Linked DNA regions of Stegostoma tigrinum. The protein of the gene in region 4 purifies or fractionates together with the protein of the main gene of each other region. This does not show direct contact. Links are inferred from orthologs where the notes say so. Each region holds a gene or a part of one and is shown on either strand. Other genes may lie near its edges. The genes, in order: zinc finger protein ubi-d4 B-like, SWI/SNF-related matrix-associated actin-dependent regulator of chromatin subfamily D member 2, ss18 and arid1b.

Region 1 (7,599 bases), on a different chromosome or scaffold from region 4:
ACCCCCATCCCCACTCCACTAACCCCAATCCCCCCTCTCCACTAAACCCCAACCCCCTCTCCACTAACCCCCATCCCCACTCTCCACTAACCCCCAATCCCCCCTCTACACTAACCCCAATCCCCCCTCTCCACTAACCCCCATCCCCTTCTCCACTAACCCCAATCCCCCCTCTCCACTAACCCCAATCCCCCCTCTCCACTAACCCCAATCCCCCCTCTCCACTAACCCCCAACCCCCTCTCCACTAACCCAAATCCCCCCTCTCCACTAAACCCCATCCCCTCTCCACTAACCCCCATCCGCCCTCTTCACTAACCCCAATACCCCCTCTCCACTAACACCCATACCCACTCTCCAGAAACCCCAATCCCACCCCTCCACTAACCCCAATCCCCCCTCTCCACTAACCCCCATCCCCCTCTCCACTAACCCCAATACCCCCTCTCCACTAACCCCAATACCCCCTCTCCACTAACCCCAATCCCCCCTCTCCACTAACCCCAATCCCCCCTCTAGACTAACCCCCAACCCCCTCTCCACTAACCCAAATCCCCCCTCTCCACTAACCCCCATCCCCTCTCCACTAACCCCCATCCGCCCTCTCCACTAACCCCAATACCCCCTCTCCACTAACACCCATACCCACTCTCCACAAACCCCAATCCCACCCCTCCACTAACCCCAATCCCCCCTCTCCACTAACCACCATCCCCACTCTCCATTAACCCCAATCCCCCATCTCCACTAACCCCAATCCCCCATCTCCACTAACCCCAATACCCCCCTCTCCACTAACCCCAATCCCCCCTCTCCACTAACCCCAATACCCCCTCTCCACGAAGCCCCATACCCCTCTCCACTAACCCCAATCCCTCCCCTCCACTAACCACAATCCCCCCTCTACACTAACCACAATCCCCCCTCTACACTAACCACAATCCCCCCTCTCCACTAACCCCAATAACCCCTCCCCACTAAGCCCACATCCCCCTCCCCACTAACCCCATCCCCCCTCTCCACTAACCCCCATCCCCCCCTCCACTAACCCCAATACCCCCTCTCCACTAACCACAATTCCCCCTCTCCACTAACCCCAATTCCCCCTCTCCACTCACCCCAATTCCCCCTCTCCCCTAACCCCCATCCCCCCTCTCCACTAACCACAATTCCCCCTCTCCACTCACCCCAATTCCCCCTCTCCACTCACCCCAATTCCCCCTCTCCCCTAACCCCCATCCCCCCTCTCCACTAACCCCAATACCCCCTCTCCACTAACCCCAATTCCCCCTCTCCACTAACCCCAATACCCCCTCTCCACTAACCCCAATACCCCCTCTCCACTAACCCCCATCCCCCCTCTCCACTAACCCCAATCCCCCCTCTCCACTAACCACAATACCCCCTCTCCACTAACCCCAATTCCCCCTCTCCACTAACCACAATACCCCCTCTCCACTAACCCCCATCCCCACTCCACTAACCCCCATCCCCACTCTCCACTAACCCCAATCCCCCCTCTCCACTAACCCCAATCCCCCCTCTCCACTAACCCCAATCCCCCCTCTCTACTAACCCCCATCCCCCCTCTCCACTCACCCCAATACCCCCTCTCCACTAACCCCCATCCCCCCTCTCCACTAACCCCAATACCCCCTCTCCACTAACCCCAATCCCCCCTCTCCACTAACCCCCATCCCCACTCCACTAACCCCAATCCCCCCTCTCCACTAACCCCAATCCCCCCTCTCCACTAACCCCAATCACCCCTCTCCACTATCCCCCATTCCCCCGCTCCACTATCTCTGTCACTCCCTCCAGCCCTGACACCCCCTTCCTCTCTGTCACCCCCTCCAGCCCCTACACCGACTCTCGATCTCTGTCACCCACTCCCGCCCCCACACCCCCTCCCTATCTTTGTCACCCCCTCCATCCCCTACACCCCCTCCCTATCTCTTCACCCCCTCCAGCTTCTACACCCCCTCCCTATCTCTGTCACCCCCTCCAGCCCCTACACCCCCTCCCTATCTCTGTCACACCCTCAATTCCCAACACCCCCTCCTTGTCTCTGTCACCCCCTCCAGCCCCTACACCCCCCTCTATTTCTGTCAACCCCTCCAGCCCCTACACCCCCTCCCTATCTCTGTAACCCTCTCCAACCCCTCGACCCCCTCCTTATCTCTGTCACCCCCTCCAGCCCAAACACCCCCACCGTATCTCTGTCACCCACTCCAGCCGCTACTCCCCCTGCCAATCTCTGTCACCCCCCCACACCCCCTCCTATCTCTGTTACCCCCTCCAGCCCAAACATCCCCACCCTATCTCTGTCACCCACTCCAGCCCCCACACCCCTCCCTATCTCTGTCACCCTCTCCAGCCCCCACACCCCCTCCCTATCTCTGTCACCCCCTACACCCCCTCCCTATCTCTGGCAACCCCTCTGGCCCCTACACCCCCTCCCTATCTTTGGCACCTGAACCCCCCTGAATTTCTCTCACTGCTCCATTGGTGACTAAGCCTTTGGTCTCGGGTTTGAGTTCTGAGGAAGGGTCCCTGGAACCGAAATGTTTACTCTGATTTTTTTCCTTCACAAACGCTGCCAGACCCGCTGAGCTTTTCCGGCAACTTCTGTTTTTGTTCCAGCTGACTCATATTTGATTTGAGGGTCAGTCCTGTGAGCTGAGTCGTGATAGTTTGCTTATTATTGAATTACTGAGTGTTAAAGCAGGGCTGGCATAATCCCCTGCCCCTTCAGTGTGATGCCTGGGACAAAGGATTCTAGATGCTCAGTTTAATCAGCTATTTGAGTGCTTTTGCACAGGGAGGCTCTGGTCTGAGTTACCCTCCTCCCACCCCAGCAGCTTCCCCCCATCCCTCTGGCCTGCCCCACCGACAGAGAGTGGGTCACCGCTGAGTGCCAGAGTTGGGGCGTTGTGTTGAGTTTGTGCAGGACATTGGGGGCGCTCTATTCTGCAGCACCATGTGCATTTCTGGTGTCTCCATGTTTTCGGAAGGATATTATTGAGCTGTAGAGAGCTCGGGAGAGATGTACCGGGACGTCACTGGGAATCGGAGGGTTTGAGTCATAAGGAGAGGCTTGAAAGGCTGGGAATTCTGTCACTGGAGTGTAGGAAGTTGAGAGGCGACCTTGTAGAGGTTTATAAATATCATGAGGGTCATAAAGAACGTGAATAGTCAAGGCCTTTTCTCTAAAGTGGGCGAGTTCAAAACTAGGGGTTGTATTTTTAAGGTGAGAGGAGACCGTTTTGAAAAGGGCTTGAGGGGTAATTTTTTTACACAGAGGCTGGTTTGTGTGTGGAATGAACTGCCACGGGAAGTGGTGGGTGTGGGGGACTCTTACAGCATTTGAAAAAGACATCTGGACAGGTACATGAACAGGAAAGGGTTAGAGAGCGATATGGGCGAAACGCAGGCAGCTGGGACTGAGTCAGTTTGGAAAACAAGCTCGGTGGATGGGTCGGACCAAAGGGTCTGTTTCTGTGCTGTAGGACTCGGAGACTGAATCTTTTCACCTTAGACAGGGAAGCAGAGGGGGACTGCTCCCACTCAGCCTCAGAGGAAGGAAGGAGCAGCGACAGGGTGGACTGGCTGAGGGGAGCCAGTGAGTGTGAAATGGTCACTCAGTGCTGAGACTTGGTATCCTGACAAATCCCCATCACATTGACTCAACAATCAGCACAATCCGACCCTGCAGACTCAACGGGCTGAATGTCCTCCTGTACTCTTCTCTGATTTTCTACGTATCTGACAAATCTAAAGGTTGGAGGCAGCTCCTGCTTGTTTGTTTGCCTGGTGTGGACCTTCATAAATTAAGCTTTGGTACTGCGAAGTACCCTGTCTCTCTGTGGAAGAATGAAAGGGATCGACAATTTTGGTTTAATGGAAGTTAAAGGAACACGTTCATGCCATGAGAGTTCAATCTCTTGCAGGACAATTACTGCAAACCTGTTTCCTAAAATGCGCAACGTACTAGTGTTACTGAGGTCGAGCTGGCTATTTAATCCCTGCTTTGGTGCAGGCACATGGTAATGAGTTTTGACCCACATTTGTTCAATAAATCAAACATAACTAGATTCTGTGATTTGTAGTATTTCTAAAGCGCTGCCACCTGCTTTAAAAAAAAACTTCAGGTCTGTGCTCCTTCTTACAAACTTAGAGTGGACCTCTGTAAATTCCACAGCCTCTAACACCTCATCTTCACCATGGACGTCCAGTCCCTATACACCTGTATTCCTCATGCAGATGGCCCTCTGCTTCTTCCTGTCCTGCAGGCCCGACCAGTCCCCCTCCACTGACACCCTCATCTGCCTAGCCAAACTCGTCCTCACCCTCAACAACTTCTCTTTCGATTCCTCCCACTTCCTACAGACTAAGGGGGTGGCCATGGGCACCCGCATGGGCCCCAGCTATGCCTGCCTCTTTGTAGGTTACGTGGAACAATCCCTCTTCTGCTACACTGGCCCCAAACCCCACCTCTTCCTCCGTTACATTGATGACTGTATCGGCGCCGCCTCTTGCTCCCCAGAGGAGCTCAAACAGTTCATCCACTTCACCAACACCTTCCACCCCAACCTTCAGTTCACCTGGGCAATCTCCAGCACATCCCTCACCTTCCTGGACCTCTCAGTCTCCATCTCAGGCAACCAGCTTGTAACCGATGTCCATTTCAAGCCCACCGACTCCCACAGCTACCTAGAATACACCTCCTCCCACCCACCCTCCTGCAAAAATTCCATCCCCTATTCCCAATTCCTCCGCCTCCGCCGCATCTGCTCCCACGATGAGGCATTCCACTCCCGCACATGGACCCCTATTTCAAAGACCATAACTTCCCCCCACCCAGTGATTGAAAATGCCCTCAACCTCATCTCTTGTGTTTCCCACACTTCTGTCCTCACACCCCCTCCCCCCCAACACAAATAAAGACAGAAGCCCCATTGTCCCTCACATATCACCCCACCAACCTCCACATCCAAAGTATCATTCTCCGCCATTTGCACCAGCTACAATCCGAGCCCACAGCCAAATATATTTTCCCGCCCCACACTATCTGCCTTCCATAGGGACCGCCTTCTCCGCAACTCCCTCATCTGCTCCACACTCCCCACTAACCCCACCACCCTTCCCTGTACCCACAGGAAGCGCTATACCCCTGCACCTCCCCCCTCACCCCCCGTCCCAGGCCCAAAACAAACCTTCCATGTCATGGAGGGATGGATAGAGCTCTTAAAGATAGTGGAGTCAGGGGTTTTGGGGATAACGCAGGAACAGGATACTGATTGTGACAGGATAATGAATGGTGGTGCTGGCTCAAAGGGCCGAATGGCCTACACCTGCACCTATTGTCTATTGTCTATTAGATGGGGGTTCACCTGCACATCTGTCAACTTGGCTCCTGTATCTCCTGCTCCCTACGTGGCCTCCTCTAAATCAGTGAGACCAAGTGCAGACTTAGGGGCCGTTTTGTAGATCATCTGCACTCCATACACGACAAACGATGACTCCTTCCAGTTGCAAACCATTTTAACTGCCCCCCCCCCCCCGCCATTCCCTGGGTGACATATCCATCCTGGGCCTCCTCCAGTGTCACAATGATGCCACCCACAAACTGGAGGAGCAGAACCTCATATTCCACCTCGGGAGCCTACAGCCTGATGGCCTTAACGTCGAGTGCAGTTTTAAAATCTTCCCACACCCCCAGCCTCATCTCATGACCAACCCTCCCTCTCATTTCCTTGACCTGACACAACCTGTCCATCTTCTCTCCCACCCATCCATCCCCACCCATCCCACTCACCATTCCCCGCCACCATCTATCTACATCCACCTATCACCGTCCCACCTACCTTCCCCCAGGCCCACCCACCTCCCTCTGTTTATTTCTGAGCTCCCTAACCCCTCCCCAGTCCTGATGAAGGGTCCAGGCCCGGAACATCTGCTTTCCTGCTCCTGTGATGCTGCCTGGCTTGCTGTGTTCCTCCAGCTCCACACTGTGTTATCTCTGACTCCAGCACCTGCAGGCCTTGCTCTCTCCAAGTCACTAAAAGCCCCACTGCTGATGGTCATTTGCTTCAATGATTTGGATGAGAACATAAGGGGTATGGCTGGTCTGCCAAGATGTGGAGGTGCCCGTGTAGGACTGCGGTGGACAGAGGTCAGAAGTCCCAAGACACCAGGTTATAGTCCAACAGGTTTATTTGAAATCACAAGCTTTCGGTGCACAGCTCCTTCATCTGTTAGACTTTCACCTGGTGTCGTGAGGAAGTGGTGGGGGCTGGTACAGTTACAGCATTTAAAGGGCATCTGGACGGGGACATGAGTTGGAAAGATCGAGAGAGATGTGGGCCAAATGCAGGCTCTTGGGACTGGCTTTTGATATGGTAAGTTTACAGGTGAGTCTAAAATTGGAGATACAGTGTACAGTGAAGAAGGTTCCATCAGGGTACAATAGGGCCTTAATCAGATGGGCCGATGGGCCGAGGAGAGGCAGATGGAGTTGAATTCAGATAAATGTGAGATGCTGCATTTTGGAAAGTCACATCAGGGCAGGGCTTAATGGGAAGGCCCTGGGGGGTGTTGCTGAACAGAGAGACCTTGGGGAGCAGGTTCATAGCTCCCTGAAAGTGGAGTCACAGGTGGATAGGATAATGAAGGAGGCATTTGGTACTTGTCTTTATTGGTCAGTGCATTGAGTAGAGGGAGTTGGGACGGCCACGTTGTGGCTGTACTGGACATTGGTTAGGGCCACTTTTGGAAAACTGTGTTCAATCCAGGTCTCCCTGCTGTGGGAAGGATGTCGTTAAAATAGAAAGGGCTCAGAAAAGATTTACAAGGATGTTGCCAGGGTTGGAGGGTCTGAGCGACAGGGAGGGGCTGAATAGGCTGCAGCGATAATCCCTGGAGCTTCAGAGGCTGAAGGGGTGACCTTATAGAGGTTTATAAAATCATGAGGGGCATGGACAGGGTGAATAGACAAGGTCTTTTCCCCCCAGGGTGGGGGGGAGTCTAGAGGGATATAGGTTTAAGGTGAGAGGGGGAGGATGTAAAAGGGACCTGAGGGGTAACTTTTTCACACAGAGGATGGTTGGTATGGAATGAGCTGCCAGGGGAAGTGGTGGGGGCTGGTACAGTTACAGCATTTAAAGGGCATCTGGACGGGTACATGAGTCGGGAAGATTGCGAGAGATGTGGGCCAGATGCAGGCTCTTGGGATTGGATTTTGCCACATCCTTACACTGTGACCCCTGGTTCTGGGCTTCCCCATCACTGGGAGTATCCTTCCTGCATCTACCCTGTCTAGTCCTGTTTGAATTTTACAGCTATCTATGAGAGGCCCCAGTTTTGCAGCGACTCTAATTTTAACCAATTCAGTGTCTCCTCATATGCCAGCCCTGCCATCTCAGGAATCAGTCTGCTAAACCTTGGGTACTGTAGCGATAGGAACCAGCTGGATCTTGTTGGCTACAAGATCCTTGATTGGGCATGTTAACCCTGGGCCAATCAGGAGAGCCCTGGCTGACCAGTATAACCAGGGGATTTCTTCAGTTCCGGGACTGAGATCCGAGCTGGTTGGCCGCAG
Region 2 (6,993 bases), on a different chromosome or scaffold from region 4:
TTCAGATCCCCTATGTCAACCTGCCCCTATAACACAGACCAAGATACAGCTCGCATTTCTAATCCCAGTCTCCCCTTACCTGTAATCCAGGTATCCTATTTTCCTCACCCACAATTCAAATGCTTTATATGTAAGACAGATCCCCATCCCTTGGCTTCATAATTGAGAGCCCCTTTTTGCCCTGTCTCTGTAATCTAGATCCCCAACATTCCATTGTCCCCATCATCCAGATCTCTCATCTCGCCTGTGTCTCTTGAATCATACAGTCCTAGATTCAGACAGCACAGAAACAGAGATAACAAAGTGTGAAGCTGGATAAACACAGCAGGCCAAGCAGCATCTTAGGAGCACAAAAGCTGACGTTTCGGGCCTAGACCCTTCACCTCTCTGATGAAGGGTATAGAGCTTTTGTGCTGCGTTCATCCAGCTTCACACTTTGTTATCTCAAATTCTCCAGCATCTGCAGTTCCCATTATCTCTGAGCACAGAAATAGATCCTTAGTCCTACTTGTCCACTCTGACCAAGTTTCCCAAACTAAATCAGCCTCACTTCAAAGAAGGCTCCCTAGGATGGGACTATTGTAGGGCCACTGGGAGGTGGGGAATCTGGATTGTAGAGATAAGCAGCATGTGGAGAACCTCAATTATAGAGAGAGGGGGTGTACGGGATCTAGAGGGACTGTCTAATGAGCAAAAGCTAAACAGGTTGGGACTCCAGCCCTTGCAGTTCATTAGAATGAGAGGTGCTCTCATTGAAGCTTACTGGATTTTAAGGGGCTTGACAGGGGAAATACTGGATGTGAGTTTGCTCGCTCAGCTGGAAGGTTAATTTTCAGACGTTTCGTCACCATTCTAGGTAACATCATCAGTGAGCCTCCGATGAAGCGCTGGTGTTATGTCCCGCTTTCTATTTATCTGTTTACCTAAACAAATAAATAGAAATAGATAAACAGATAAATAGAAAGCGGGACATAACACCAGCGCTTCATCGGAGGCTCACTGATGATGTTACCTAGAATGGTGATGAAACGTCTGAAAACTAACCTTCCAACTCAGCGAGCAAACTCACATCCAGAAACTCAACCTGAGCTACAAATGTTCTCAAAACTCGCTAGGGTAAATACTGACAGGATGTTATCTCTCACGGTAGAGTCCAGGATCAGCCTCAGAACAAAGGGGCACCAATTTAGAACGGAGATGAGGAGGAATTTGTCTCTCAATGGTGAGTGTGTCTTTGGAACTCCTTGCCACAGACAGCTGTGGGGTACAGTCCTTGTGTATATTTAAAGCTGGTGATCAGTCGGGGAATCAAGGGATACAGGGAAAACGCAGGAAAGCAGAGATGAAGAATTAAGTTTCAGCTATGATCCCACTGAAGGGTGTAGGAGGGGGTGAACAGCCTAATACAGTTCCTATTTCTTTCAGTTTTGCAATTCTAGTCGCCCTGTCTCTGTAATCCAGATACATCCCCACTTGTACAATTCAGTTCTCCTACATGTTTTTCCCCTGCAATTCAGAACCTTTACCCCAGCTTGTGTGCATAAACCAAACCCCCTAATACCCCTCTCTCTATAATCAAGGTTCCCCACATGCTCCTGCTCTCTACAATCCAGATGCCCCAAACTCCCAGTGGCCCTACAATAGGAGGCATGTGATGGCGCTCATGTGCCTCTCCTCTCTTACAGTGCTGACCACGTGTAAGACCATAGTCCGGGAGGCGGGAGGGTGGGTATTTTGCAGTGATCTTGGGGGGTGGGGGAAAGTAGGTAGGCTGCAGATTGAAGCGGAGACCCCGGGTTTCCGGGGTCAGGGGGATGAGGGTCCAAGCGCCGAATCTCCGCAATCGCGGAACAAGGTTTCTCGATGCGACACTGAATGCGGAAGTAATGCGAAACGGGAACAACAACACACACACAAAATAATTCAGCAGGGAGGATCGGGAGGGAGCTTTTAGGCCGAGTTTCACTGTAATTTCAACCAGCAAAACAAGAGGGCTAGGGTGTCTGCTTGGGGTCAGTTCCTTGCCAATTTGATAAACACCAGAGAAAAAAATAGCAACTAACTCTTTTATTCAACAAAAAGAGAGTCACCTTTAGAGCTATTTCATATCTCTTGCACGTGTCTAAACCACATGTTTTTTTAAAGAAAAACTACATTAAAAATTAATCTCATGTGGCGCCGCCACATCAAGTATTTAATTCTAAAGAAGTCAAGAAACATAATTACAGAAAAAGGGGGGGGAAAATCGATGACTAAATAAAACGGTGGTTTCCTTTCTGATTCTGGGGCCGGTTTCAGTGCTTTCCGATCGATCGGTGCAGATAAATAAGGGCAGAAGTTGGAAAGTTTTGCATTGCTGGTGAGCAGTGGGGTTTGGAGGCAATTACTCACGTTGTAAGCGCCGCCGGGACCCATCGTCCGGAAGACTGGAGATTGCTGCTGGAGGTTCAGTGGCATCCTGACCGCTTGTCCTGGCATCACCCCCAAGGAAGGATTCAGGGGGCTCCCTGGGTTCAAGGGGTACCCTCCGCCTACTCTTGTCGCCATTTTTTCAAAGTGTATACATAAACAGACACATGCATGTAATATATATATGTATATGTAGATATATGAAAACAAAAGACAATCTCACTCGGCGCTAACAACTCTTCCTCCAACAAAGATCCCAGCTGTCACTTGGTACAAGTCACTCCTCCAATTGGTTGCCACAAGCCTCCGCGGCTCAGGGAGAGAGGTCTCCGGTTTCACCCCACGGCTATTCCTTACCGGCTACGTTAACGCTTTCTTTTCAAAAAAAACAAGAAAGCACACACATAACATTTAACAACAGGCACAGAGGTGGCAATGTTTGGTGTCATCATTACCCATGAATCTGCTGGAGAGCTATAAGCCCCCACTCTGCTGGCACTGACACATTTTCTAAAGTGCCTCAAAACCAACAAAATGTCTAAAGATAAAGATCAGAGTGTTTTTCTCCCCCTCGCTACACTCTTGTTTGTTGAGAGCTACGCCTCCCGCCCACTTCTGTGGCTTTGGCAGATGGGTGGGGATTGCTCAAGCAGGTTAGCAGGGAACTCAATAGACCGCGCGCCCTCTACCTACTCAGTAGGAGCACTTCACCAGGCAAGTCTAAACATTGTGCTGTCTATAGCAAGCAGGAACTCAGCCTGCGCCAGGTAAAGTGCAGTCTTCAGTCAGCAGCACCTCTGTTAGAATGAACTCTTTGCCTGGCAAAACAGACAAATCCAACCCTCATTTTCTTAGTTATTTCTCGCACCTTGTTGACTCTTTTTAGAAAATACCTTTATTCACCCATGGGGTGTGGGCTTCATTGGCTGCGTCAGCGTTTATTGCTCATCCATATTTGCCCTGGAGAAGGTGGTGGTGAGCACTGTCCCCATTAAGTGGTCACAAATTTGCTCAGAGGCTCTGTGCACGCCAACTCGTACTGACTACCAAATCCAGAAGTTGGAAATTTACAGGTAATGTAGGTGGTGGTGAGCTGCCTTGAGCAGCTGCAGTCTGTTGGTACAAGGATGCTTACAATGCCATTAGTGAGGGAGTTCCCTGGATTTTGGCACTGAAGAAATAGCGATATATTTGCAAGTCAAGATGGTGTGTGGTTGGAGGGGAACTGGCAAATGGTGGTGTTCCCTGGGATCTGTCGTCCTTGCCCTTCTAGAGAGTTGCAGTCAAGGGTTTGGATGGTTCTCCCTAAGCAGCCTTGGTGAAGTACTGCAGTGCATCTTGTAACTGGTACACACTGCTTCCACTGAGCATTGTGGTTGAAGGACTGAACTTTGTAGATATGGTGCCAGTCAAGTGGGTTGTTTTGTTGATGGTGTCAAGCTTCTTGAATGTTTTTGGAGCTGCACTCATGGAGGCAAGTGGGGAGTGTGCCATCAGATCCTGAATTATGACTTGTAAATGCTGGATAGGCTTTGAGAAGTCAGGAAGTAAATTAATTGTAAGATTCAAGGCTTCTGATCTTCTCACAGTCACAGTATTTGTATCACTAGTCCTGTTCAGTTTCTGGTCAATGGTAACCCCCAGGAGGTTAGAATATCATTAGCATTTTACAAGGCATAATGATGTATTTAATAACAGAGGAAATCTTTACAAATACTGGTTATAGGACCTGAGGTTCCTTTATCCCAGTACTATGAACAGAAGTTCTAAAATGCCTTCTTCCTGAAAACCAGACACTTAGGAAGAAATGACTGACATTTGAAATGTACCTGTCATCACCTCAGGACATCTCAAAATGTTTTACAGAGTACTTTTGAATTGTAGCCACTCCCCAAACATGGCAGCCAATTTGTCTATGTAGCGATCACAAGCAACATGGAAATAAATAAGCAGGTATTTTGATTTTAAAAGATATTGGTTGAGGAATAAATGTTCAGAGTATCTAGTGACAGTCTATATTCAGCTACATCCACCTGACACTTTTGTACAGCGCTAGGGGGGTATTGCTCTCAACAGCCACCGTCATTCACACAAGGCCTTAAAACTCAGCTCTATCTGCTTTCACAGTGGGGTATAAAACATCACTTGGCATGATATTGAAAACAAGCAAGGATGCCTTCTTAGAGATAATGGGAACTGCAGATGCTGGAGAATCCGAGATAAAAAAGTGTGGGGCTGGACGAACACAGCAGGCCAAGCAACATCGTAGGAGGACAAAAGCTGATGTTTCAGGCCTAGACCCTTCATCAGAGTGGGGGATGGGGAGAGGGTTCTGAAATCAACAGGGAGAGATGGGGAGGCAGATCAAAGATAGATAGAGGAGAAGATAGATGGAGAGGAGACAGACAAGTTAAAGGGGTGGGGATGGAGCCTGTAGAGGTGAGTGTTGGTGGGGAGGTAGGGAGGGGATATGTCAGTCTGGGGAGGGCGGACAGGTCAAGGGGGTGGGATGATGTTAGTAGGTGGGAAATGGAGGTGTGGCTTGGAGGTGGGAGGAGGGGATAGTTGAGATGAAGAACAGGTTAGGGAGGTGGGGACGAGCTGGGCTGGTTTTGGGATGCAGTGGGGGGAGGGGATGAGCTGGGCTGGTTTTTGGAAGGGGAGATTTTGAAGCTTGTGAAATCCACAGTAAGGTGAGTGTAGGTGGGGAGGTAGGGAGGGGATATGTCAGTCTGGGGATGATGGACAGATCAAGGGGGTGGGATGAGGCTAGTAGGTGGGAAATGGAGGTGTGGCTTGGAGGTGGGAGGAGGGGATAGTTGAGATGAAGAACAGGTTAGGGAGGCGGGGATGAGCTGGGCTGGTTTTGGGATGCAGTGGGGGAAGGGGAGATTTTGAAGCTTGTGAAATCCACATTGATACATTGGGCTGCAGGGTCCCCAAGCAGAAGGTTGCATGAGTTGCTGTTCTGCAACCTTTGGGTGGCATCGTTGTGGCACTGCAGGAGGCCCAGGATGGACATGTTGTCTAAGGAATGGGAGGGGGAGTTGAAATGGTTCGCGACAGGGAGGTGCAGTTGTTTATTGCGAACCAAGCATTGGTGTTCTGTAAAGCCTCCAAGCCTCCGCTTGGTTTCCCCGAGGAAGCCACAACGGGTACAGCGGATGCTGTATACCACATTGGCAGATGTGCAGGTGAACATCTGCTTGATGTGGAAAGTCTTCTTGGGGCCTGGGATGTGGATGAGGGAGGAGGTGTAGTGGCAAGTGCATCCCCACCCCGTTAATTTGTCTGTCTCCTCTCCACCTATCTTCTCCTCTATCCACCTTCGATCCACCTCCCCCTCTCTCCCTATTTATTTCAGAACCCTCTCCCCATCCCCCTTTTCTTATGAAGGTTCTAGGCCCAAAACGTTAGCTTTTGTGCTCCTAAGATGCTGCTTGGCCTGCTGTGTTAATCCAGCTCCACACTTTGTTATCAAGGATGCCTTCTTCCCAGTCTGATGGGCTTTTACAATTGCATATTATTTGCTCAGATATCTTGCTAGGGCTCAAATTCCCAACTTTCTGACTCAGAAGTGAATAGACTAATAATGAGTCCCAGCTTATCTATGTAATCTGATGGTGAGAAACAGGAACTCTCTGCCTTGAAACAAATCAAGTTTGAAATACTGTCGTGGCAGTCAAATTTTAGTCATTGGTAGTTAAAAATTGTGACCCAATCTTAAAAAAGTCTATATGCTGAAATAAATGACTATATCCAATTTTATTTATTCCTAAGTCCATCCTTGGTATTTACTTAATGTTGAAAGTCCTGTGCAGTTGTTTGAAACTCACCAACTGTAGTCTGCCCAGACGACCAGCAAATCTAACATTTTTTGTTAATTATATTTTTACATTTTTATCAGGGACCATCAAATAACGCCCTTCTTTCATTTGCAAGCAAAGTTTGCTCACAAAGCAGGCAAATCTAATATTGCATGGTCATAAGGAACCCTCAAGACAGATTGATTCCCCATATTTAATGTGCAACACCAAAAGAAACTCTCAACTTGGCCTAAGCATGGAAATATGATTGATCTATTACATACTAGATCATAAAATTCTTGTGGATGAGAAAGCAGCCTGTTCAGAAAAGTGTTCCCATTGCAGCATTTAATTGTCTTTTTTCATCTATTGCTTTACCTGGACACATAACGGAATAAAATTTTCTGATATCAATTGTATAATTACCTTTTAACAGTTTGTATCTGTAAATTCTGAATTTCCCTAGAATTCAGATCCCTGACTTTTGGCTGAGCCTTGTGGTTCTAATGTGCAGTGCTTTCAGCATGTGAATGTTTTTTGTTGGGATCTTGGCAGCCACACCTAGATGCAGTTTTTAAGGTGTGGTGCGAAGTGTGTTTCAATCGCAACATTTTCTGATCTCCATTCTACAATTTTGGCTACGTAGCTCAACATTCTGATGGCATTGTTCATGACTCCTCAGCCTTGGAAATACTGTCAATTACATTTGCTGAGATGACTTGATCTCTTTCAGCTTCATCTTTAACTCTGCTAACACCAAACTTGGAATGCATGCAAT
Region 3 (7,556 bases), on a different chromosome or scaffold from region 4:
TAGGAACTTCTGAAAGTGACAAATATGCAGTTAAGAGTCAACTACTTTGCTGTGGTCTGGAGTATAGCTTTAGATTCTAGATTTTTATTTATTGAATCTAAAGTCTACCAGCTGCTGTGATGGGATTTGAACTTGCAACCCCATAGCCTGGTCCTCTGGATTATAGTTACACCCTAACTATGAACCATTTGCCTCTGAAAATCTGCATCTAACATGTTGACAAGGAGGAATAGGTGTAGGCCATTCAGCCCTGCAAGCCTGTTCTGCCAATCAATGAAATCATGACTGATCTGTGACTTAACTCCATGTACTTGTCTTTGACCCACAGTCATTAATAATTTAGGTACATTTTTGTTAAGTAATTTGTTTATGTTTTCCTGTTAACATCTTAAAGGCTTCGATCAGATCACCCTCAACCTTCTAAATTCTAGAGAAAACAGTTTGTATAATCTCTCCTCATAACTTAATGCCTGAAGTCCAGGTTTCATTCTGGTAAACCTACATTGTACTCCCTCCAAGACCTGCATATCCTTCCTGAAGTGTGTAGCCCAGAATTCAGCACTAGATTTCAGGTGAGGCTGGAACAGTGAGTTACTGGCTGAATGAGTTGTACTGTTTAAGCTTATTTTAAAAAGGAGGGATCCTTTGTGCCTTTCCAACCACTTTCCCTCCTTGCCTTGCAGAAATGGTGCACTCACCAATCCCCAAATCCTGCGCAGCCCCTTGGAGAATAAGGGCTTTCATTTCATCGCAGAGACAATACAGTGTGGAGCTGGATGAACACAACAGGCTAGACAGCAGAGGTGCAGGAAAGTTAACGGTTCGCGTCGGGACCCTTGCTCGAAACGTCAGCTTTCTTGCTCCTCTGATGCTGCTTGGCCAGCTACGTTCATCCAGCTCCACACCGTGTTATCACACCCCTTCTTCAGCAAAATTGTGTTCTTGTTTTATCGTGTCCCTTTGCTTTCCTCAGACTTCTCCACATCACATTTCATCTGCATTAAAACAGGTCGAACTGAGGAGGCTGTAAATCCGAAAGTTCGGAAGGGTGGAGATAGTCACTGGACCCAAAAGGTCAACTGATTTCTCTCCATAGATGCTGCCAGACCTGCCGGGTTTTTCCAGCAATTTCTACTTCTGTGTTAAATTTCAGCTGCCCCTTCCAGTCGTGTCCTCTCCAAGTCCATGACTACCCTCCTCGCGTCCACAATATTTCGTTTCATCTGGACAATTTTTAAAAATTGCGCCGTTGGCCAGACCGAGTGTAACCGAGCTTCCCAGACTTGGAATTGCCAAGCTAGGATTTGAACTCAAGTCTCCAGCTGAAACGGCTAGGCTTCTGGGTTTAAACCTGCCCCAGCAACATGACCCAAAACGTAGCCCGTGACTTGGCAAAATAGCTCGGCTGCGAAGAGACAACCCAGAGGGGAAATGCCAAGGGAGGAACGCGAAACAGGACAGGAGTCAAACCTCAACTGTGCAAAAACTGCTATTTCCAGCACAATAAACAAAAACGCAGGAGTACAAGTAAACATCTCAGCTCAGAACAAACGAAAAAAAAGCAGTGACCTTGTCGTAAAATTGATGTAACAGAAATTCCCCCAGAACGTGTTACTCGCTCAAGCTCACACATCAACTCGAACAATTAAAGTTGGTTGAAATGAATAGAAAAAAAAACGTGAAATCAAATCCATCAGCAGATCTGAAGTATTCTTAAGGGGTGGAGAAAAGGGGAACATTTCAAATCCAACCAGACATTGCAAGAAAAAAATAACCTCGGAGAGAGAAAAAAAAATTACTGGAGACGGATTAAAAGTTAACTGCCAACCCAATTGTACTTATGAGAAAATGATCATTTCCTGGCGCTTGTGAATTTCGCTGAGCGAGGTTGGACTTAGGAATGAGGCTGTAAAAGCTTCAAGAAGCTCTGGGGGAGGGGGGGGGGAAGACAAAGAGAAAAAAAATGTTCTCCCAAAAACAGTTGAAGACCTTCATCATGGCCGCGAGAGCAAAATTCCCCCTCTCTGTCAAGCATTTTTTTCGTATCTGGGTGAGTGTATAGGAACCCCCTCTCCCCACGGAATCTTATTTTTAAAACAAAATACACAGGGAAGAAGAAAATGGTTTTTGTTCCCCGTTGAAGCTTAACGGGACTCTACGAATACAAAGGCTTCATGATCTGATGCCCCCTCCCCCCCGGTGTGTATGTATAGGTTACATTGTTGCACGCCTGCTACAATGTAACCCTCCAGTGTAACAATCTGAGCGGATACATTGTCGCAACGTTCCAAAACTCGCTACATTACCTTCTGAATGGCGGCAGGTGTAATTTCACCTTTCCCGCGTTGCCGGGGAGTAGCAAAAGCAACCGACATCGTGCTCTGCTCTGTGTATGGAGTTGAGTCTATTTCTCACCCTTCCACTCCTCTCTTATTTCTATTCTCCCCCCCCCTTCACTCCCTCCCCTCTCTTCACCCACACAGCATACAGAATGCAGCAGACATGGTAGCAACTCCTCCTCCTTGGAAACAGGCAGCGCTCTTTTTCTTCCCTCTTCAAAGAGATTCTACTATATTTTTTAAAAAAAATCTCTCGTAGCTGTGGGAGGAAGGGGAAACGGCAGAGTTTACACCCCTCCTCCAGCCCCAACACTAAAAGGCGTAAGGTAGAAAATGCACACCAGGGCTGCAGCAAGAAGTTGTCAGCAGCTGTGCAAGGAGACAAAGAGGGCTGCAAGTGCCTGCATTATTCTGATCCAGTGCATTTTCAGTGACTGGGGAGACAGTGCAGTATTTTGGGTGCAATTTCTAATGAATCAGTCAGCTGAGGATCTCCCCCATTAATGAATGAAGAATTCCGGATAAACTCCTGCCAGTTACACTGCAACCACTGGGGATTTTGTGGATTCAACAGCAAGCAATTCCTACACAGAGTAAAGCAACAAATCCGAATTGGGCCAGAGTAGGACATGAAATGCTTCCCACGAATATAACTACCGTGTACTTTACTAATCAATAAAGCCAGACATTCCCAGGCCTCTACAGTTGTCCTCAGTACCCACCCTCCCCTCTGGAGACAAATGGTGCATTCCTTCTGGTTTCAAGACCAGAATCTGGAACAGGGAAGCGACTTTTTTTTGGCAGTGATGCAACCAAAGTTGCAACGAAAATAGATGTTTTTCAACATGTTCAATCAGTAAAGGGGGTCAATTAATTTCAAGATGCATAATGTTTGCAGTCCATAGATGTTTTTTCTGTCAGATCGCCCTGATGTTATGTAGCTGGATTTCGTCCAATCCTCCCCCTCCTCTTTGTGGTTTCTTCCGGCCTGAGGCCATATCAAACTATACCCAGTAGTCGGGAGAGGGGGTGAGGAATACCAATGTGTAGAATACACACACTGTCCCACCAAATATACGCAACGAACAAAAGAAAATTGAAGAATAATTAATAACTTCCTTTCAAAAATGGGATTTTCGTTACTGATGCTGCGCGTTAATAATATAATGGAACGAAATGATATTACCGCCCCTCCGGAGAAGCTGTTTAATTGGTGAAGTCCATTGGCCACAGCTCCGCCCCTTCCATGAGGGCGTGCGCAGTGGAGTCCTTTAGTTTGGCGGCTGGTTCGAGCGCGCGCGTGCGCTGTGCCGGCGGCCGGCTCGTGCGCGTGCGTTGCGCCTACCGTCCGTTTGTGCGCGTGCGTTACGGCCGGTCTTGGGCGGGGAGGGGGGGTGGATTAGTTGACCGCGGCTATGGCGGCTCGCTATGACCGAGCCATCACTGTGTTCTCTCCAGACGGACATCTCTTTCAAGTGGAATACGCGCAAGAGGCCGTGAAGAAAGGCTCGACAGCGGTGAGTCTGTAGTAGAACCGCCCCACTCCGGGAACAGTGACAGCCCCCAGGGACGGTGACCCCGCGCGCCCCCCCCTCCCACTCCCCCCCCCGGGACAGTGACCCCCACACGCCCCCTCCCTCCAAGGACAGTGACCCCCCTCCCCCCCCGGGACAGTGACCCCCCCTGCCCCCCCCCCCGGGACAGTGACCCCCACACGCCCCCTCCCTCCAAGGACAGTGACCCCCCTGCCCCCCCCCCACTCTCTCCAAGGACAGTGACCCCCACACGCCCCCTCCCTCCAAGGACAGTGACCCCCCTGCCCCCCCCCCACTCTCTCCAAGGACAGTGACCCCCACACGGCCCCCCCCGGGACAGTGACCCCCACACGCCCCCTCCGTCCAAGGACAGTGACCCCCCCACACGACCCCTCCCTCCAGGGAGAGTGACCCCCTGCCCCCCCGGACAGTGACGCCCCACACGCCCCCTTCCCCGGGACAGTGACCCCCCACGCGCCCCCCCCCAAGGGACAGTGACCCCCACGCGCCCCCCCCCAAGGGACAGTGACCCCCACGCGCCCCCCCCAAGGGACAGTGACCCCCACACGCCCCCCCCCTCCCCAAGGGACAGTGACCACCCCTGAAACAGTGACCCCCCCCCCCACACGGGATGGTGATCACCCATATTCCTTCTTTGCCCCCTCCACCCCCAATTAGGGACAGTGATCCCCCACATCTCTCCACACATCGCTCCCCCCCCCCTCCCAGGGACAGTGGCACCCCCCACATGCTTCCTCCTCCCCTGCCCCAGCACAGTGCCCACTTTGCTGCTGCCCTATGCCAAGGGACCGTGCCCAACATTCCAGGGTGTAGGCGAGCACGAGGGGGCACAGCTTTAAATTGAGGGGTGAAAGATATAGGACAGATGTCAGAGGTAGTTTCTTTATTCAGAGTAGTAAGGGAATGGAACGCTTTGCCTGCAACGGTAGTAGATTCGCCAAATTTACGTACATTTAAGGCGTCATTGGATAAGCATATGGACGTACATGGAATAGTGTAGGTTAGATGAACTTGAGATCGGTATGACAGGTTGGCACAACATCGAGGGCCGAAGGGCCTGTACTGTGCTGTAATGTTCTATGTAAATGTTCTATCTATATGTAAACTGCTTGATCTCTCTTCATAAGACAAGCCCTTCATCTCTGGTGAAATTCAGGAGGTCTGGCAGCAACCGTGCAGAGAGAAACAAATGATCAATGTTTCAGATCCAGTGAACCTTCAGAAGGGCCCTGAAGGAGTGTCACTGGACTCAAAACGTCAACTCTCTTTTTTTTAAACTCTTCACTGGTGCTAGACTTTCCCTGGCAATTTCTGTTTTTGAGTAAATCTCCTTTGATCTGTGTCTGAGACAACTACCTTCTTCCTCAATTAAGTGACCAACATTTTACATAGTATCCCAGATGTAATCTTATAATGCCTTGTCTAGTTGCAGTAATACTTATCTACTTTTATATTCTATTAATTTATGAACAAATGCCAAAGTTCTCTCTGAAGTAACCTAGCAAGATATTTACTTGAACAGAGTCAAGAGTTTTTACATCTTGGAAAGAGGGCCTTCACCTATTGCATTTATGCTAGTTGTTAAACCTCCATCTCTTCTCATTCCATTTCTATGGCCTTGTTTGCTGTGGCATTTCAAGTTTTCATCTTGGTATTACCTAAATGTCTCAACTGTTCCTGCCTCTACCCTTTTCAGAGAGAGAGTTCCAAACACCCACAACCCTCTGAATTTTTTTTCTCAAATCCTCTCTGAAGGTCCTGCGCTTGAGCTGAAAAATGTGCCTTCTGGTTATTAATCCCTCTACCAAGAGAAAATGTCTATTCCGAGCTATGCTGTCTATGCTCCTCAAACTTGGGAGACTTCACTCAAATCCTGCCCTCGGCTTTCTCTGCTGTATGGAAACCAACTTCACCTTATCTTGTATCTCTTTGTAGGTTAATTGTTCCAGTCCAGGCAACATCCTGGTGAATCTCCTCTGCACCCTGTCTCGGGCAATCACATCCTTCCTATAATGTCCTGCCCAGATCTTCTCTCAGTACTCCAGCAGTGGCCCAACTAATCTTGTATACAGTTCCGACATAACTTCCTTGCTCGTCTTCAATGCTTTGGCTAATGAAGACAAGTATCCCCTAAGCAAACCATGTCTGCAGTGTCATGCAGTCCTGTAAGTTTTTTTTCCTTTCGGTTACTCACTCACTGTGCTTACTCTTCCCGTTTTGAAGGTTGGGATTCGAGGTAAAGATATAGTTGTTCTTGGTGTGGAGAAAAAGTCTGTTGCAAAACTTCAGGAGGAGAGAACAGTGAGAAAAATCTGTGCACTTGATGACCATGTCTGCATGGCATTTGCAGGTATACTTTGGGATTTCCTTCTGGGGCTTTTTAATGCAACTTAATTATATTTGTTTTATTTTATTATTTGTTTTCTAAAAAATGGCTGAAAAAATATCAACAAGGTTGAGGAAACATCCATCATTGAAATTGTTTTTGGATGTGACTGTTTGAACGCCTCAGGCTCTAATAACTGTCACTGTTTATGTGTTCTCCAGAATTTGGAAAGTTATTGGGACTCCTTTAAGATATTGACAGGAAAGGTCAGAGTTAATAACAATGAACTATTTCTACTGATTGGCAATTCTAGAACTCGGAAGAGTCTGAGAATTAGGGCCAGGCTATCCAGAAGAGATGTTAGGAAGCACTCCTATACAGAAAGGTGATAGATGTTTGGAACTCTCTTCCACAAATGGCTGGTATGTTAGATCAGTTGTTAATTTTTAATTTGAAATAATTTTTTGTGAAGCAAAGGTGTTAAGGGACCTAGGCTAAAGGCATGTATTTGAAGTTAAGCCACAGACCAGCTGTGAGCACATTGAACAGTGAAATGGGTTGAAGGGGCTGAATGGTCTACTCCTGTTCCTAAGTTTCTGTCAGTGTCTCATATCATCTTTTCCCCAAAGAAATAACTTGCATTTCAGTCAGTGTTGATGATGTTTATGGCTGTAGACAGGTATGTGGAAGTGGGTTGTGTTGAGAAGGGTCAACAAGTTCAGCTCTTATTCAGTTAGAACAGGGGACCAATGCTGACTGCAGGACAGCAAAGCCTTTGACAAGGTGCCACAGGGGACACTGATGAACGTAGAAGCATGTAGGCTTGGCAGGTTGGACCCAAAATTGGGTTAATGGTAGGAGATAGAAGGTGGTGCTGGAAGGCTGGTTGTGCGATTGGAGGTCGGTGTCCACTGGCGTTCCACGGGGATAAGTGCTGGTCCCTTGGGGAGGTAACAGTGTAGTGCAAGGTTATTAATCCAAAAACCCAGATAATCCCGCATGGCAGATGGTGGAATTTGAATTTTATTTCACAAACAAAATCTGGAATTAAGTCTGATAGAAACAGAGAAGACAGGAGCAGGAGGAGGCCATTCAGCCCTTCGAGCCTGCTCCACTATTCTTCACGATCATTGCTGATCGTCCAACTCAGTAGACTAATCCTGCTTTCTCCCCATAACCTTTGATCCCATTTGCCCCAAGTGCCGCCTTTTGAATATATTCAGTGTTTTGGCATCAACTACTTCCTATGGTAATTAATTCCACAGGCTCACCACTCTTTGGGTGAAGAACTGTCTCTCCATCTCCATCCTAAATGGTCTACCCCAAATCCTCATA
Region 4 (7,094 bases):
GAGCTTACGTCTCCTGGTTCAGAGGCAAGTACACTATTCTGTTACACAAGAACCGCCATGCCATCATTTAACAACCCGACTACAACTACCACCATACCATTGGCACGGAATTGAACTTATGGGTCTGTATAGTTATACTGAAGCATTTACCATGAGCAATCAGACAAAGAGATTTCAATTTAATTAGAAAAAAAGGAAATATAGTTCACAAAGTTAAAGTTCTAGTTTTTAATATTGCTACAATTGGTGTGGAATCAAAAGCAATAACAATTATGGTATTTTACAATAGTAAATTGCTCTATATGCAGTACTTCCTGGGCAATACTTACAAAGCAGTTAATTTTCTTTGAATGAACTAACCATAATACTCATTTGTATAGATTTCACTTAATAGATATTTTAAAATAATACTGTTCTAAATTACTTCTCAATTCATCCAACAAGCTTATCCCTTGATTACACAGAACAGGTTCTGAAGTGTACGGAATATCTATTGCTGTTTCATTAAAGTTACCAACGCTTATAATTAATGGCTGATTTTAGTAAATATGCATAAGCTGGTTATTCCAGAATATTTTAATATGTCAACCGCTTGTTACTAAACAAGTGTTTCACTGCCAAAGATGGTTTATCGAATCAAACACATTTTAAAAATGGAAATTTTGATATTTAAGTGCAACTGGAATGTCGAAGGGAATGAAAGTTGAAGCGGTGTTGATTTCTCTTAATGATCCATGCGCTCTGTAAATTGTGCGGATTCTTAGGAAACGTGCAATGTGGGCTTACGATTGCGACGTTCAGGAACTTGTATTTACATCAGCACTGATAAATGCCCAGTGGTGAGTGTGAGAACCAATCAGATGGCAGATTAGATGTCAACTCGGAGGCAGCTGTCTAGAGACTCGATTCCAGGCGTTTTACCTCCATAATTCAAATTGCAAACCTTGCAAATGAAGGTGAAGAGATTCGAATACGAGCTGAATGGACCTACCAGTTTTCATACACCATGAAACAAAAATCAACCCGAGCAGCCTGGAGGGTAAAAGTAACTGAAATGGGTGGGGTCAAAAACATACCGAATAGCAGTTTAAATTAACAAAAGGAAACTTAACTGATTTATTTAATCTAGAAGTAACCTAACTGGAAGTTATCAGTTCAGTGCATAAATCCGCACAGCGGACACCCATCGCTAGGGGTAGAAAGCACAAACTCTCTGCATACGGCGTATCCCAAGAAAAAGAGTCGCTAAAACTCTCTCCTTGCCAGTAAGAAGTCATATGAAACGTAGCGCGGCCTAGGTCCCTGACCAGCAGTTGCACGACTTTCTCTCTAAATATCTTCACATCGCACAACGCCAGCTCCATTCTCCCTTCAGGGAGAAAGACACCGACAACACAGGCCGCTTTACCTGTGTCCTGCCCAGAGGCTGCGCCGAGCTGCCAGGGCTCATGGCCGTGTGGCTGCGGGCTTGTCCTGCTCCGCCGCCACCACCACCACCTCCGCCTCCGCCTCCCCAGGGTTGGCTGCTGCCTACTCCGTATTGACTGCCTATGTCGTTCCCTTTGAACGAGGTCTGCGAAGGGCCGGGATTACTGTAGTCCGGAAAGCCATATCCCCTCATGGGGCTGGGGGAGGTCAGTAGCTGGTTGAGAGTTGGCGTGGCCCCCGAATGCTGGTTTTGGCCTGAGTAGCGCTGAAATGCCCCGGCCAGAGGCGGCTGCTGCTTGCCTTGATGGTGGCCGCTGTTGGTGGCCCCACTGGATCCCATATTGTTGGCCCTGGGAGAGTTCATTATGCCGTAACCAGGGCTGCTGTAAGCCGGCCTGTACCCCGAGTAGTGGTTGTAGTTGTTGGAGTAGCCGTCGTGAGAATTGTGTAGCGGGCTGGCGCTCAGCTCCAAGCTGCTGGAAGGATGAAGCCCAAGCCCCGGGCTTTGTTGTCCGCCATGTTGATCGAAGTAGGGTCCTGGACCGGGGCCTGTTCCTGCCGCCGCCGCCCGGTAATAATAATTATAATCGTGGAGGCCAGGCGCCGGCTCTGCTTGAATATTGGAGCCTGCCGGGTGCTCATATCTCTGATCGCCCATTTTGAGCAATTGGTCGTCGGCCTTATTATTGTTGCCCTGGTTGTCAGCGCTTAACAAGATGTTGTCTTTCCCACCACCGCCTCCATGTTGAGTCTCTGCCCCGCCGCCTCCTTCTCCTTGATGATGGGGAGGAAGCAACAATTCAGCGCCGGTGGGTTTCAGTTTGTGATTGGGAATTATCCCCGCCTCACTGGCGGCCGAAGATGAGGAGGAGGCGGTGGACGCCGAGGAAGGCGAGGCTGAGGCGGGTTCTTTGTGCGTTGGCTCTGGGTTCGGGTTGGACGAGGCCGACCCCGAGCCTCCAGCAGCGCCGCTGCCTCCGCCGTTGTTGGCCGGACTGGGGCCAGGCCCCGAGGAGTTGGCCATGGTGAGCTCGCCGTGGTGCTGCTGGTGGGGAAGGTGGTGCTGGTGGTGGTGGCGAGGATGGTGATGATGATCAACGCTGTTTAGGTTCAAGCCGCCGCCACTGGGATCTCCGCCGTCACCGCCGAGTCCTCCTACCGGAGCCGCCGGTTTTCCGTTGTTGACGCTGTTTGGGTCGGGGCCGCTCAGGCCGGGGCTACCACCGTTGTTGCTACTGTTGGCCGGAGCTGCTGCTACTTGAGCAGCCATGATCATCTCTCAGAAAATCAGTCGGAGAGCAGGGAAAGACACAGACACGTCTGCTTCCTTTTACACCCGATCATTAAATATTATTAAAAAAGAAAAAAAACTTGTCCTCCTCCAGTTTGAAAGCAAAAGAAAAATAGGCTCACATTCTCTTCTGTTGCATGGTGATTATAATAATAAATTAAATTCTATTTTCTATTTTTGTTAAATAGGTAGAAAACTTTCTCCAGATCTGTTTTAAAAATCAAACTTTCCTTTCCTCTCTAACCCGGATATGGGTAACTACATGTCTAGCTGAGCCTCTGGCCCAGCATGGCATGAGGACTCCAACAACTATTATCCATTCCTCTGATTACTGCATATCAACTCGAAAACACGGGCTGGAACCTGTATCTCTCCCATACTGCACAATCTAAATGCAGTGACGTTTATAATTGTTTTACTTTCTATGTTGTTTAAAAACATGAATTCTAATTTCCTAACCTGTTAATATGTATAACTTACCATAAACTATTGGCAATCATTTCTATTTGATGAATAACAACATTAATTTAAACCTATGATTCTCTTAAGTTGCCATTTATTGTAATCTGTAAACATAGTTTGTATTAATTGTATCTTACCTTAATGTGTTATAAAATTGACCCACCAAACAAAATGCTCGTTATCAACTAATTCAAACTTTGTTTCCCATTTTAAAAAGCATCAGTCTTCATAAGATGATATGGTAGTTGTCGATTCTCTGCATATCCCAAAAACGTCAGCTTTTGTGCTCCTGAGATGCTGCTTGGCCTGCTGTGTTCATCTAGCCTCACACTTTGTTATCTCTGCATATCCCATTTCATTTTGAAAACAATTTAATAGATTTATTACATTTTCTCAATACTTATCACAATTAACATTAGTAAGATGAGATAGTAAGAGCTGCAGATGCTGGAGAATCTGAGATAACAAGGTGTAGAGCTGGATGAACACAGCAGGCCCAGCAGGAAGACTGACGTTTCAGGCCTAGACCCTTCTTATTGCTGAAGAAGGGTCTAGGCTCGAAACGTCAGCCTTCCTGCTCCTCTGATGCTGCTTGGCCTGCTGTGTTCATCCAACTCTACACCTTGTTATCTACATTAGTAAGACATCGTTTTAGACCAAATTCTTTTTAGTATTTCACTTTCCAAGCATGACCTGTGTCTCCTTTCATTGTGCGTGTACCAGAACGTTCCAGTCCAGTTCTTGCCTCTCTCCTAGCCCCGGGTTCAATCTATTTCTCTCTAGCCTCAGAGTTAGACATAATCACAGGATCACTGGAATCCTTACGCTATCAACTTATACACATCAGCCAGCATCCGAATCAAAATTCAGCCAGCAAAAAAAATCCTGCAAAATCCACTTATCCCAGACGTGTGTGGCAACTCACATCTGAGAATGAGGATTAACAAAAATCAAGGAAAAATAGCACGGACTATTTTCCCTAATGTGTCCTTTCCTTCAGAGTAACGAACAGCATTCCTAGGTTGAAGCATTCTCTACTCTGCTCAGTGCCTATTTGCTGTTCCTATATACTCCCACTGGAGATCTTTTTACATTGAAAACAAATTTGAAAATTCATTATTTTTAATCTGAAAATAGTATGTGTTATTTATTTCTATTTGTTGTATTCAGATACCGAATCCCATTTCTGAAGTTTTCACTGAGATCCTATCAGTATTTTTTTCATGTACCTCATGAGAGGGAGTTGCTTGCAATTGCTTCACACGCATCAATAGTTGTCAGTAAAATCAAACTGACGTCAGTGCTGAGTAAAAGATATGTCCCTTTTGTTCTCCGTTTTCCCACTCTGCAATCCAATAATTCAGACGCTTGTAAAAGGAATCCTTATTGCAAATAAATTTTAAGTTTGCAATAATGACCCAGCGATGTTTTGCGCGCATTAAATAGATGTAGCAGTCTTTTTGATCTTTATGTCTCCCAGCGTCAATTGGGTTCAGTTATACCGGAAGGTTAGTTGCAAATCCTGGCTGATCTGAAATTCGATCAACAGACGCAAGGGGCAAAAAAAAGGCATTTCAGTGCAAATCGATGGATTGATGACGCGCTCGAATCTTTCAAACACATTATTCGACATAAAATGCGCAGCGATTTCATTGAATTTAAACAAATAATGAAATTATAGCAAGACGGGTAGAATCTTGTCGAGGGAGGAAACTTAATTCCTTCAAACAACCATATTATGGTGTGCTGTGTACTTCTGGCTGCAGCGCGGAAGTAATTGCTTAGACAGCACAATTTAACTTTTAAAGATCAAAAAATAAAATTAACATTTTCTTGTAACGGATTCTTCAGTGCAATGTAAAGTTGTACACATTTTAAATCATACATTATTTACAGTCAATAATCATTAACATCCTCCGCACCTCACTGACATGAGACATTTAAAGAGATTCTGTTTATTTCGACAGATTGCAAGTTGTTGTCATTGCTCATATTTGTATACAAAGAAGGTGTTTTGTTACAGAATACATTTCAGGAAGTGCAAAACAACAAACAATTTCTGCCATGTCCATGTCATTTTGTAAAAAAAAAACAATTTTTAATATCAAAAGATTAAAGAATGGAAGAAAAAATAATCCATTATAACTTGGAATATCACTGCATTTGTCAGATTTCTTTGAAATCAATACATCAACTTTATTCATGTTTGTATAACATATTTCTCTGTTGCTTACTGGAAGTCTATAGCACTTTAGACATATTAAAACATCCCAAGATGTAACTATTGGAGTGTAATGAGTCAAAATTTGACATCAAGAAACATAAGGTGATATTAGAGAAGGTGATTGAAAGCTTTATCAGAAATAGGTTTTAAGGAACACCTTAAAGTGGAAAAAGAGGAGAAAGGAATATCTATTTAGCAGGGACTTAAAGACTTGTAATGACATTTCTGATTAGAATATACCATTAGGGCCTTGCACAGCTGAAGACATTGCTGGCAATAAAAGGCATTTCTTCAGCCAGAGAGTGGTGGGCCTGTGGAATTCATTGTCATGGAGCGCAGTTGAGGCCGAGACGTTAAATGTTTTCAAGGCAGAGATCGATAAATTCTTGATCTCACAAGGAATCAAGGGCTACAGGGAGAGTGCAGGGAAGTGGAGTTGAAATGCCCATCAGCCATGATGAAATGGCAGCGTGGACTTGATGGTCTTATATGCAGGTGATTTAGTATGTATGGATTTCAGTAAGTCCTTTGACAAGGTCCCACATTGGCAGCTGATAATACAAATAAAAGCATATGGAATTTAGGGAAAATTGGCATGTTGGATCCAAAACTGGCTTCTGGTAGGAGGTAGAGTGTGGTGGTAGAAAGCTGTTTGTGTGACTTGGAAGCCAATGTGCAGTGGGGCACTGTGGACTCCAGGGTGTGTGGGCTGCAGTCAGTTTATTCAGTTAGCTAAATGATTATTTTGTAAGGCAGAATAATGGCAGCTGTATTAGTTCAATTCCTGCATCAGCTAAGGTTACCACGAAAGTCTCTCCTTCTCAACCTCTTCCCCTCTCCTGAGATACAATGACCCACACGTTAAACTACCACCAGTCATCTCTCTCAGAGCAATCCTGTGAACCGGTAGGACTTTTGAGATTTTACCTTACCACAGAGATTAGTGCAGGTTTCCCTTTATTGTTTGTGATGTACAGACAATATATATGGAAAAATTTGGGGGAATGGAATTAAGTTTGTGGATGACATGAAGTGGCTGGGTGATTGAGAATAAGGAAGAAGATCTTGGGTTACAAGAAGATATGGACAGATTGGTCAGATCAGCAGACAAATGCTAGATGGAAATTAACCCTGTGAGACATGAGGTGTTAGGCTTTGGAAGAAGCAAGAAGACAAGGGAGTGCTTGTGAATGGCAGGAATCTAGTAAGTTCAGAGGAACAGAAGATCTTGGAATGCTTGTCTATAGATCCCTGAAGATGTGAGATCAAGTTAAAAGTGTAGTTAAGAAGGCATATGGGATACTTATTAGTCATGACATAGTTTATAAGAGCAGGAAGGTTATGTTGAAACTGTATAGGACTGTGGTCAGACCACATTGGAGTACTGTGTGTAGCTCTGGTCACATGATAGGAATGATGTGACTGCACTGGAGGGGATGCAGAGGAGATTCTTCCGGATGTTGCCTGGGATGGAGTAGTTTAGTAATGAGGAGAGTCTGGATTTGATGGGATTGTTTTCTTTAGAGCTGAAAAGGCTGAGAGAGAACCTGATTGAGGTATATAAGATTATCCCAGACGTGGACAGAGTAGATAGAACGCAGCTGCTCCCTTTCATTGAAGGGTCAATAACAAGAGGGAGTAATTTTAAGGTGAAAGGTAGGAGGCTCAAAGGGGATTACATAGAACATA

Evidence for each region.
Region 1: the proteins of arid1b (region 4) and zinc finger protein ubi-d4 B-like purify together in Homo sapiens (affinity purification with mass spectrometry; 7 studies listed by BioGRID and IntAct, counting the BioPlex papers as one, with this or other methods). This does not show direct contact. The link is inferred for Stegostoma tigrinum from reciprocal best matches to the Homo sapiens genes ARID1B and DPF2.
Region 2: the proteins of arid1b (region 4) and SWI/SNF-related matrix-associated actin-dependent regulator of chromatin subfamily D member 2 purify together in Homo sapiens (affinity purification with mass spectrometry; 5 studies listed by BioGRID and IntAct, with this or other methods). This does not show direct contact. The link is inferred for Stegostoma tigrinum from reciprocal best matches to the Homo sapiens genes ARID1B and SMARCD2.
Region 3: the proteins of arid1b (region 4) and ss18 purify together in Homo sapiens (affinity purification with mass spectrometry; 4 studies listed by BioGRID and IntAct, counting the BioPlex papers as one, with this or other methods). This does not show direct contact. The link is inferred for Stegostoma tigrinum from reciprocal best matches to the Homo sapiens genes ARID1B and SS18.

Annotation. Positions count from the first base shown.
Region 1 is NC_081395.1:3,497,584-3,505,182, forward strand, and holds the start of zinc finger protein ubi-d4 B-like, read right to left. Parts: upstream 3,003-7,599; coding exon 2,908-3,002; intron 2,553-2,907; coding exon 2,473-2,552; intron 1-2,472. UniProt on the Homo sapiens protein: Plays an active role in transcriptional regulation by binding modified histones H3 and H4. Is a negative regulator of myeloid differentiation of hematopoietic progenitor cells. Might also have a role in the development and maturation of lymphoid cells.
Region 2 is NC_081384.1:23,920,331-23,927,323, forward strand, and holds the start of SWI/SNF-related matrix-associated actin-dependent regulator of chromatin subfamily D member 2, read right to left. Parts: upstream 3,018-6,993; 5' UTR 2,548-3,017; coding exon 2,392-2,547; intron 1-2,391. UniProt on the Homo sapiens protein: Involved in transcriptional activation and repression of select genes by chromatin remodeling (alteration of DNA-nucleosome topology).
Region 3 is NC_081358.1:125,259,588-125,267,143, reverse strand, and holds the start of ss18 (protein SSXT), read right to left. Parts: upstream 3,003-7,556; 5' UTR 2,376-3,002; coding exon 2,307-2,375; intron 1-2,306. Other genes in the region: proteasome subunit alpha type-7, read left to right, coding at 3,755-3,856, 6,119-6,245. UniProt on the Homo sapiens protein: Appears to function synergistically with RBM14 as a transcriptional coactivator. Isoform 1 and isoform 2 function in nuclear receptor coactivation. Isoform 1 and isoform 2 function in general transcriptional coactivation.
Region 4 is NC_081362.1:36,512,961-36,520,054, forward strand, and holds the start of arid1b (AT-rich interactive domain-containing protein 1B), read right to left. Parts: upstream 3,021-7,094; 5' UTR 2,705-3,020; coding exon 1,409-2,704; intron 1-1,408. UniProt on the Homo sapiens protein: Involved in transcriptional activation and repression of select genes by chromatin remodeling (alteration of DNA-nucleosome topology).